Linked DNA regions of Nothobranchius furzeri. The protein of the gene in region 1 purifies or fractionates together with the protein of each later gene. This does not show direct contact. Links are inferred from orthologs where the notes say so. Each region holds a gene or a part of one and is shown in the gene's direction. Other genes may lie near its edges.

Evidence for each region.
Region 2: the proteins of fbxo22 (region 1) and kdm4b purify together in Homo sapiens (affinity purification with western blotting; 3 studies listed by BioGRID, with this or other methods). This does not show direct contact. The link is inferred for Nothobranchius furzeri from reciprocal best matches to the Homo sapiens genes FBXO22 and KDM4B.

What each region holds. Positions count from the first base shown.
Region 1 is NC_091749.1:67,399,981-67,404,366, reverse strand, and holds the start of fbxo22 (F-box only protein 22), read left to right. Parts: upstream 1-1,471; 5' UTR 1,472-1,917; coding exon 1,918-2,048; intron 2,049-2,253; coding exon 2,254-2,386; intron 2,387-3,296; coding exon 3,297-3,384; intron 3,385-4,386. UniProt on the Homo sapiens protein: Substrate-recognition component of the SCF (SKP1-CUL1-F-box protein)-type E3 ubiquitin ligase complex that is implicated in the control of various cellular processes such as cell cycle control, transcriptional regulation, DNA damage repair, and apoptosis.
Region 2 is NC_091748.1:64,721,342-64,725,163, reverse strand, and holds part of kdm4b (lysine-specific demethylase 4B), read left to right. Parts: intron 1-1,017; 5' UTR 1,018-1,044; coding exon 1,045-1,455; intron 1,456-2,038; coding exon 2,039-2,214; intron 2,215-3,822. UniProt on the Homo sapiens protein: Histone demethylase that specifically demethylates 'Lys-9' of histone H3, thereby playing a role in histone code. Does not demethylate histone H3 'Lys-4', H3 'Lys-27', H3 'Lys-36' nor H4 'Lys-20'.

The sequences.
Region 1 (4,386 bases):
GCAGATCATCTGTGGTGCCGGGGTCGTTTGACTGGTGTGAGCCCAAGTGGTGCCAGTAAATGTACTAGCCTAGCGGCTTATCCCAATCTGTTTTATCTTCGAGGAAAAAAACGAAAGCTAAACAGAAGCATTAACCACTGGCAGCCGCTGGAGAAGGCATGAAGAAAGTTATTATCTGCCATTAAATGTGTGGAGGAAGTGGCCGTTTTAAAAGCAGTAAAGGTTTTACATTAAAAAAATAGGTTAGTTATTTACCATAATTTAGAAACTAAATTATTAAAGGTACATTTCACAATTTAAAACATTCTTTTATTTTATTATGTACTGTAAAAAATAAACGATAATGAAGCCTAAGCTTGTATATTTTAACCTCAAATTAAAGGTTTTGTCACTGAAACAAAGTGAGCGTGTAAAAGGTTTCTGATTTATACACTTTGTTTAAAATATAAATTTGTTAGCATTATTTTGAGAAGAGCTTTAAGTGTGTGTGTGAGAGAGAGAGAATTTGTACTAAATCACAATTCATCAATAATTAAATATTTAAACTATGAAACAAAACATATTTAAGGCACAAATTATGTATGGCCTCGTTGAGGTTAGATTTCTTTGAGTTTTAATACAGTAAATAAAACATAAATATTTATCACAGGCCTCACTAAATGGTTTAAAGAAACGGAATGAATGCAAAAACAAACTAATAAAATGATCCCACATTTACATAGAGTAAATTCTGGTGTACGCACACACACACACACACATGCACGCACGCACACGCATAGAGTCAGTGCAGAGCTCCAGTTGTGCAGGGCAAAACGTCTGCCAGGCCCTGACCAAACAATCATCTCCTGGAGTGTGTTCATCAAGCCCTCCAACATCACTGCACAAGTACGAGAACCCCAGACCCCCTGGTGTGTGTGTGTGTGTGTGTGTGTGTGTGTGGTGATGGGGTCTGTGTTTACAGTGGGAAATGAGAGTGGGATGGAGAGAGAGAGAGGTCATGAAGTCATTTGAGCACCTGGTTCTTCCCCACCTCAAGACCCTCACAGACCCCCTCCTGGACCTCCTGCAGTTTTCCTACTGAGCCAACAGGTCTGTAGATGATGCCATCAACATGGCTCTACACTACATCCTGCATCATCTGGACTATCCGGGTACCTACACCAGGATCCTGTTGGTGGACTTCATCTCTGCTTTCAACACAATCCTGCCAGACCTCCTCCAAGACAAACTGTCCCAGATGAAGGTGCCTGACCACATCTGCAGGTGGATCACTGACTTCCTGAAAGACAGGAAGCAACAAGTCAGGCTCGGGAAGCTCTCGGACCTGCAGACCATCAGCACCGGTTCCCAGTGGACAGTCTTTTTGACTCGCTCCCATCGGGCAGGAGGCTCAGATCCATTCAGATCAGAACCTCTCGCCACAATAACAGTTTCTTCTTCTCTGCTGTTGGACTCATGAACACTCCGGTGGCTTGGTTTCAGTCACTTGACCCTGTTGTGTTTTGTACCTGAGCTGTTCCGAGCTGATCAGTACCTATATAGTAGCCGTTTCTCTAATTATTGCCACTTTATATTATTTTATCATGATCATATTCTTATTTCCTATATTTACTTCTCTTATTTTTGAATCTTTCTTTTTGCACCAAGAACTGCAGCAATTTCCTAATGTTGTGATTTCTCGCACACATGGCAATAAAACCAGAGGGAGAGCGAGCTGTATGTGGTGTGAAGAGACGAATGTGATTTATTTACGTTTACACCCGTTGAGACATTTATTTACTATAAAATATAGCGCCTGCATTACCCCTCCCGTCCGCTTGGGGCAGCACCGCCACTTTCGTCGTCGCAGCGTAGGAAGTGACGTTAAAGTTCGTTTCTGTTCAGTTGTGGCTTAAAGACGCTCCATCTGAAAGAAATATGAGTGAAATTCAAGAGTTAGGCGATTTTTCACAGGATAGTAAGGCAGCTTATGTTCTCAGTAATGTCGCCGAAGTGGTTGAAAGGATTCTTACGTTCGTACCGACCAAATCGCTTCTACGAATCGAGAGGTAATGTTTACATGCTAAACTGTTGGTTATCCTTTATGTTAGCTTATTAAAAGTCATTATGGTTCTTTAAAATTATTAGACAAACGTGAAGCTAAAGCGGTAGGTGTATTTTTATTGGAAGTTTGGCGCGATTACTGAAATTGTGTTTTAGCAGACAAGCTAACTTCCTGTTTTGTTTTGAACATCTTTGTTTTGTTTTTGTCAGTGTGTGCAGATTGTGGAGGAACTGCGCGCGCAGGGTGCTCCGGACCCAGCAGCAGCTGGCATGGGCTTCAGCGCGTGGACCCTCCACCACAGACGTTCATACTCTCTGCAACGTCCTGGCTGAAGAAGTGGAGGTAAATTTCACCTCCAGTGACCTTTGGTAGTAGCCTGGGAAGCCAGACTAAATAAATGTATTCTGGCCACCCTCCATTGACGGCTCTTAGCTGTGGGGCGGGTTCTACCGTTGTCTTTCAAATTATCTCCGCATTCCACTGGACAATGAATGTGACATACTCTTGTTTCACTCTGTTGCATCATCCCACCCACCAGGCATTAATGGGCCATTCCCATCTGTACGACCCGGGCCGGGTAGCGTAGGTTGTTTACATATCTGGGTGGCCTGGTATTTTTCCGGGCCAACCAAGGCTCATTCTCAGCCCTCTTCTCGAGGGGGTCTGCTTCAGGCCGACCAGGGCCAACACACCCACTGCTGACAGCAAATTCACACCTTCCATTAGAGCAAGCCTCTGATTGGTGGGTAGAATCAGCCCACATGGGCATAAGACAAGGATGTGTGGAATCAACCGGGCCAAGCTGGGGCCGACTGGGGCTACCCGGCCCGGGCCGACCCGGTACAGATGGGAATGGCCCATAGAGTGCCCTGATTGGCCCACAAAGCGGATAAAGCTCTGTGATTTGTTCACTAAGCAGATAGAGCACTTTGATTGGCCCACCATTATGGACCAATCACAGCTCTTTATGTGTTTGAAACCCCTCTAGAGAGCTGTGATTGGCTAGCCAGAGTCCTGGTAGGAGCTGCGGAGGTTCCAATGGAGCATGCCTAGACCAAACTTTGCAAAACGAGAATTTGGTCTAGTTCATTAGGCTACTTTGGTAGGGCAATCACAGAAAACGAGAAGTGACAATAAAAAGGGGAAACTACATGGAGGAAATACACGAAACGCACAAAATCTGCAAATTTCCAACTGCCTGAAACAACAAACAATATTTTATTTTGTGCTGTTTGCTTCTGATTGTTTACAGAAAGTATTCCTCCTGCCTAAAACAGTTTTGATGATGGCAGACAGCGAGTCCTTCAATGGGCTAGCTTATAGCTATTCACAGAGCAAAGGTTAGTATCATTTACTTTGTTCACCAGACACGTGTTTATGGAGAAGGCTTTTATTATGACAGTTGTCACGTAAAAAAACAAAAAAAACCAGTTGTTAAAAAAACACTCATTAGTAGAGAATCCTTTCCCGGTAATGACTCCGTAAAGTTTAAAATCCACAAATGACACCAAAGTGTGTATTTCCTCTGGTGGTAACCCATGCTTCACATCACGATTTTGTTATTTGCGTTATTAGCTTTGCTAAGCTCGGAAACCTTTTCCGTTAGCGGATGCTGTAATTTGAGCTGATGAGTTTAGCTGAGGCAGTTCTTTTCCTGTTAAAAGGTTTTCCTGTCCACTGTTGCCCTCGTGCTGCGGTTGCTCAGAATGGGGGGGGGGGGGGGTTGCATTGAAGTGAAGATTGAACACAATCTCTTGGTTTCTTTATTTGACAAATTAGAATTTTTTAATTAACCCAATATTCTAACTTCACTGAATGTTCTGCAGCCATGTTGCCTGAACCTGCCACTTGGAGATGACTTATGTTGTGAGCAGGCACTCTTTAAGGGAACTAAATCAAAACTGGGCAGATTGATCCATCAGTCATTATTTACTGTAACACGTGGACGGAGAATACAGCAGTTTTAGAATAAAAAAAGGTAATAATAGTTGGATTTTTTGTATTTTCTTCCAACTCTTTATGTAGACATTTGTGATATTGTTGTCATTTTAGATCCAGCTTAGGGAGAGAAGACAGAATTTTAACCCCAGCCCATATTGGCCTTGTTGTTGGGGAAGCTGTTTGAGTCAGAGCTGTTTGGAGTCGTTTTTGGGCTTAAACATAAGTTTAGGAGACATTTGATGTCCTACTGAAGCTAATTTCATGGAGACGTTGCTTAATTTTGACATAAAATATTTAGGGAGGCAACGACACCACTTTTTTCTAAACCGATACGATACTTGGATCTGAGTACTCGCCGATACCGATACTTCTACCACACAAAAAAAGCAGTGATTTATAAT
Region 2 (3,822 bases), on another chromosome or scaffold:
GTTTTTCTGGACCACCTGATTTGTCTTTTTTTCTCTCTCACAAAACGCCGCTTATTGAACTCTGCACAAGCAGGCACAAAGCAGAAAGAAGATGTGAGGCTGTGCGTTCTGGCCACATTGGGTGAAATGTTCCTACTTTACATTAAAAAGATAATAAGTGGAAAAGCGTGTGGCTTTAATGTTTATATGGTATGATTTATACCACTATATTGTGAATAATGTTTTGAACCTTAATTTGAAGAAAATTGGGAATCAAATTGAAGTTGCAATTTCTCCTAGAAAAATGGCAGTTCAATATTTTCCCAAAATCGTTCAAGCCTATTACAGGGTTAGACTCGCGCATTCTAAAAATCATACCTAATTCCTAAAAGGGGGAAAACTCCAGGTTTTAGCTTTAACAATGTATACAGAGTAGATTAGAATAGATTAGAAAATTCTTTTATTGTCCCTCATTGGGAAAATTTTGGTGTCATTACAGCGAAGCAGGTTGACAGGATTGTGTACATTTCACAAGAGGAGCAAAGAAGAATAAAAATAAACATCAGTGATTTTAACTTATTCTGTAAAAGTTGAAAATTTAGGAAAGTAAATATTTCCATCGGACCTAATTATTGCATTGAGTTCAGTTCATTTTCACAATTAAAGTTTCTTATAACCCAGCAGATTGCATTGAGTCACTGACTCGTGTTATTGGCTTTACAGATATCCTCATGCTAAGCAATCACGCAGCGACACAAATTAATCACAGTACTTAATTTGCACACGAGATAATCCAGTCAAGCATAAAACTATGTTAATACTAATTTATGATAAAAATGTAAAAGCTCCTAACATTAGATTATACTTTGAAAGTTTTTTAGTGATCACATTGAGCTTAGTGCATCCCTTTTGCATACAGTTTTGAGCCTTTGGAACCTGTTTGGTTGTCGTCATTTCCGTTTTCTGTGTTTGTTTTTGAGAGTAGAGAAAACTCAAATAAATTAAACTGTCTTTAACCACCAGTGTTGTACTTGACAGATTTACCTGCAAACCTTCAAGCTTCCAATGGCTACTGACATGCCCACGGACATGGAGTCGGCCCCAAACCCTGCCCCATCCTCAGCCTCCGATCCGGCCCCAGCCTCTCCTCCTGCTCTGGACTCCGCTGCAGCCCAAGACCAGAGTCCTACCCAGGAGCCAGCAATCACTGAAACTCCTGATGTTGTGACTTCAGAACAAAATGTTAGTCCACATTCCCCCCCGGTTCCGCCCATAGACCCGGGAGCGACATCAGTTCCTGTCCCTGGTTCTGAGCCATCCCAGGTTCCTCTGCCAGCACCGTTGCCTCCAAATGCTGCCAAGAACCCAAGCTGTAAGATCATGACCTTCCGGCCCACCATGGAGGAGTTTAAGGACTTTGCAAAATATATTGTCTACATGGAGAGTCAAGGAGCTCATCGTGCTGGCCTGGCTAAGGTATTACAACACCTATATGCACATAACATAACCCCCACCTACACATTCAGGTGTGTTTCACTCCAAAACAAATTATGAATTATAATTTGTGATTATAATCGGTCAGCAAACAGCAGAGAACATCTCGACTAATAGAGGCTAGCAGTTAGCATTAGCATCTCCACCACACAGCAGAACTCCTTTGGGCTTGTTTTTAATAAAGCATTAATGTTGCAAAGAAAACTGAGTCGGTGGTAGAGTCATCTTGCTGTTGGCCAATCAGAGGCGAGATGTCAAAATATCAGGAGATAAGATAAATAATCCTGTCATCTGAACTAGCTAATTTTTCCTCTAGCTGAATGCTCCATGCTGAAACAGGCACATCTGAACCCCCCCCCCCCCCCCCAACACACACACACACACACACACACACTTACAAGGCTTTCATTCCTATAGAAACAACTGCAAATGTATCGATGAAATGAGTGAACCACTCCTAATAAAACTTGCTGTAGTCTTGTCATTCCTTTCCTACCCTATAAGGAATCTAGAGCATTAGCCTATTTATCTGCAAATTAACATGACCAAACCTTTCTTTGTTCAGGTGATTCCTCCCGAGGGCTGGAAACCACGCAAGTGCTACGACACCATCGAGGACATGGTGATCCCAGCACCCATCAGTCAGGTGGTGACTGGTCAGTCAGGCCTGTTTACCCAGTACAACATTCAGAAGAAATCCATGACTGTTGGTGAATTCCGCAAGCTGGCCAACAGCAAGAAGTAAGTTGGCCTCTAGTCCTTCAGCTTTATTCATACATTTTATCTTAAACACTGAACTGTGCAAAAGTTTTAGGCAGGTGTGGAAAAACTGCTGTAAACAGGCAATGCTTAGAAAAATGGAAGTGTTGATTATTTGTTTTCACCAATCAACAAAAACAGTGAATGAACAAAAGAGAAATCTAAATTAAATCAATATCTGGTGTGAGCCTTCAAAACAGCATCAGATCTTCTAGCTACACTTGCACACAGCTGTTGAAGGAACTGGGCTGGTAGGTTGTTCCAGACATCTTGGAGAACCAACCACAGTGGATGTAGGCTTCCTCACATCCTTCTGTCTTCATGTAATCTCAGAAACTTCACGATGTTGAGATCAGGGCTTTGTGGGGGCCACACCATCACTTCCAGGACTTCTTCTTTAAACTGGAGATGGATCCTAATGAGTTTAGCCTGATGTTTGGGGTCACTCACTTTGTGTTTTGCAAATTGATAAAAATGAACAATCATTTATATTTCTGAAAGCGTTCTTTGTTCACAGCATTTTTTTCCACACCCGCCTAAAACTTTAGCACAGTCTTGTATGTTTACTTCTTTGTGTTTGAATATTCAGTTTCTTTTGTTAAGTCAGCAATACATAACAGATTTATTTCCTTTGGAGTGAAGAGAAATGACTTTTCTTTAAATTAAAACAAAACAATCACAACCCTACTTGCAAATCACAAGTTAAGACCGAGTTTGAAAGTCTAAAAGTTGCTTTTAGGGCTGCAGCTATCGAATATTTTTGTAATCGAGTACTCTATCGAATCTTTTTTTCGATTAATCGAGTACTCTAATAAATTACCCTTTTGTGTTTGTAAACCATTATATCATATATTGATGAGCCAAGATGGCGTCGAGTATGGCTGCCTCGTCGCGAGCTCCACCAAGTTCCAACATTACACACTCCATACTGTACATTAATGCCACTGTTTTGCACATACCAACCTCTGTACATTTTATATCTCTTATCTTATTGTTTACTTTATTCATTTGTATACTTAGATTAGCCATTTTTATATTTTACTTGTTTTTACATTACCGTATTTTTGCACAACTCTGTTGCTGTGAAGCTCGCACACAAGAATTTCACTCGCATGTACTGTACCAGTGTACCTGCACATGTGACGTGACAATAAAAGTGATTTGATATCAAATAGCATGTTATAATTATGAAAGACCTCTTAAAATGAGCAAGCAATTGCCAGTTATTCTTCAAGTTTTATTCAAAATTAGTTTGCATAACTTCAGCACTTCAACTTTACTTCACAGTAAACAAATGCCTGTGCAAAAAATAAGTAAACAACCTGAGCCGATTTTCCCCTCGTGTGAGAATCTGCTAGCCTGCAAGCCAGACAAAAACTAGGAGGATAACTGTTGAAGTAGCGCTGCGAGCGGCTGCGGCCCAAACAGAAACAGAACCGCTCACGGCGCAAACAGCTCGCCGGCTGTTTCCCTATTAACATACGTCCGTTTTAATTTCTACACTTTTTTTCTCACACTAACAAGGATTGCCAAAAGCATGTTTGCTGTGGTTTTCTCAAATTATACTGATCACAAAACATTTATTTACTT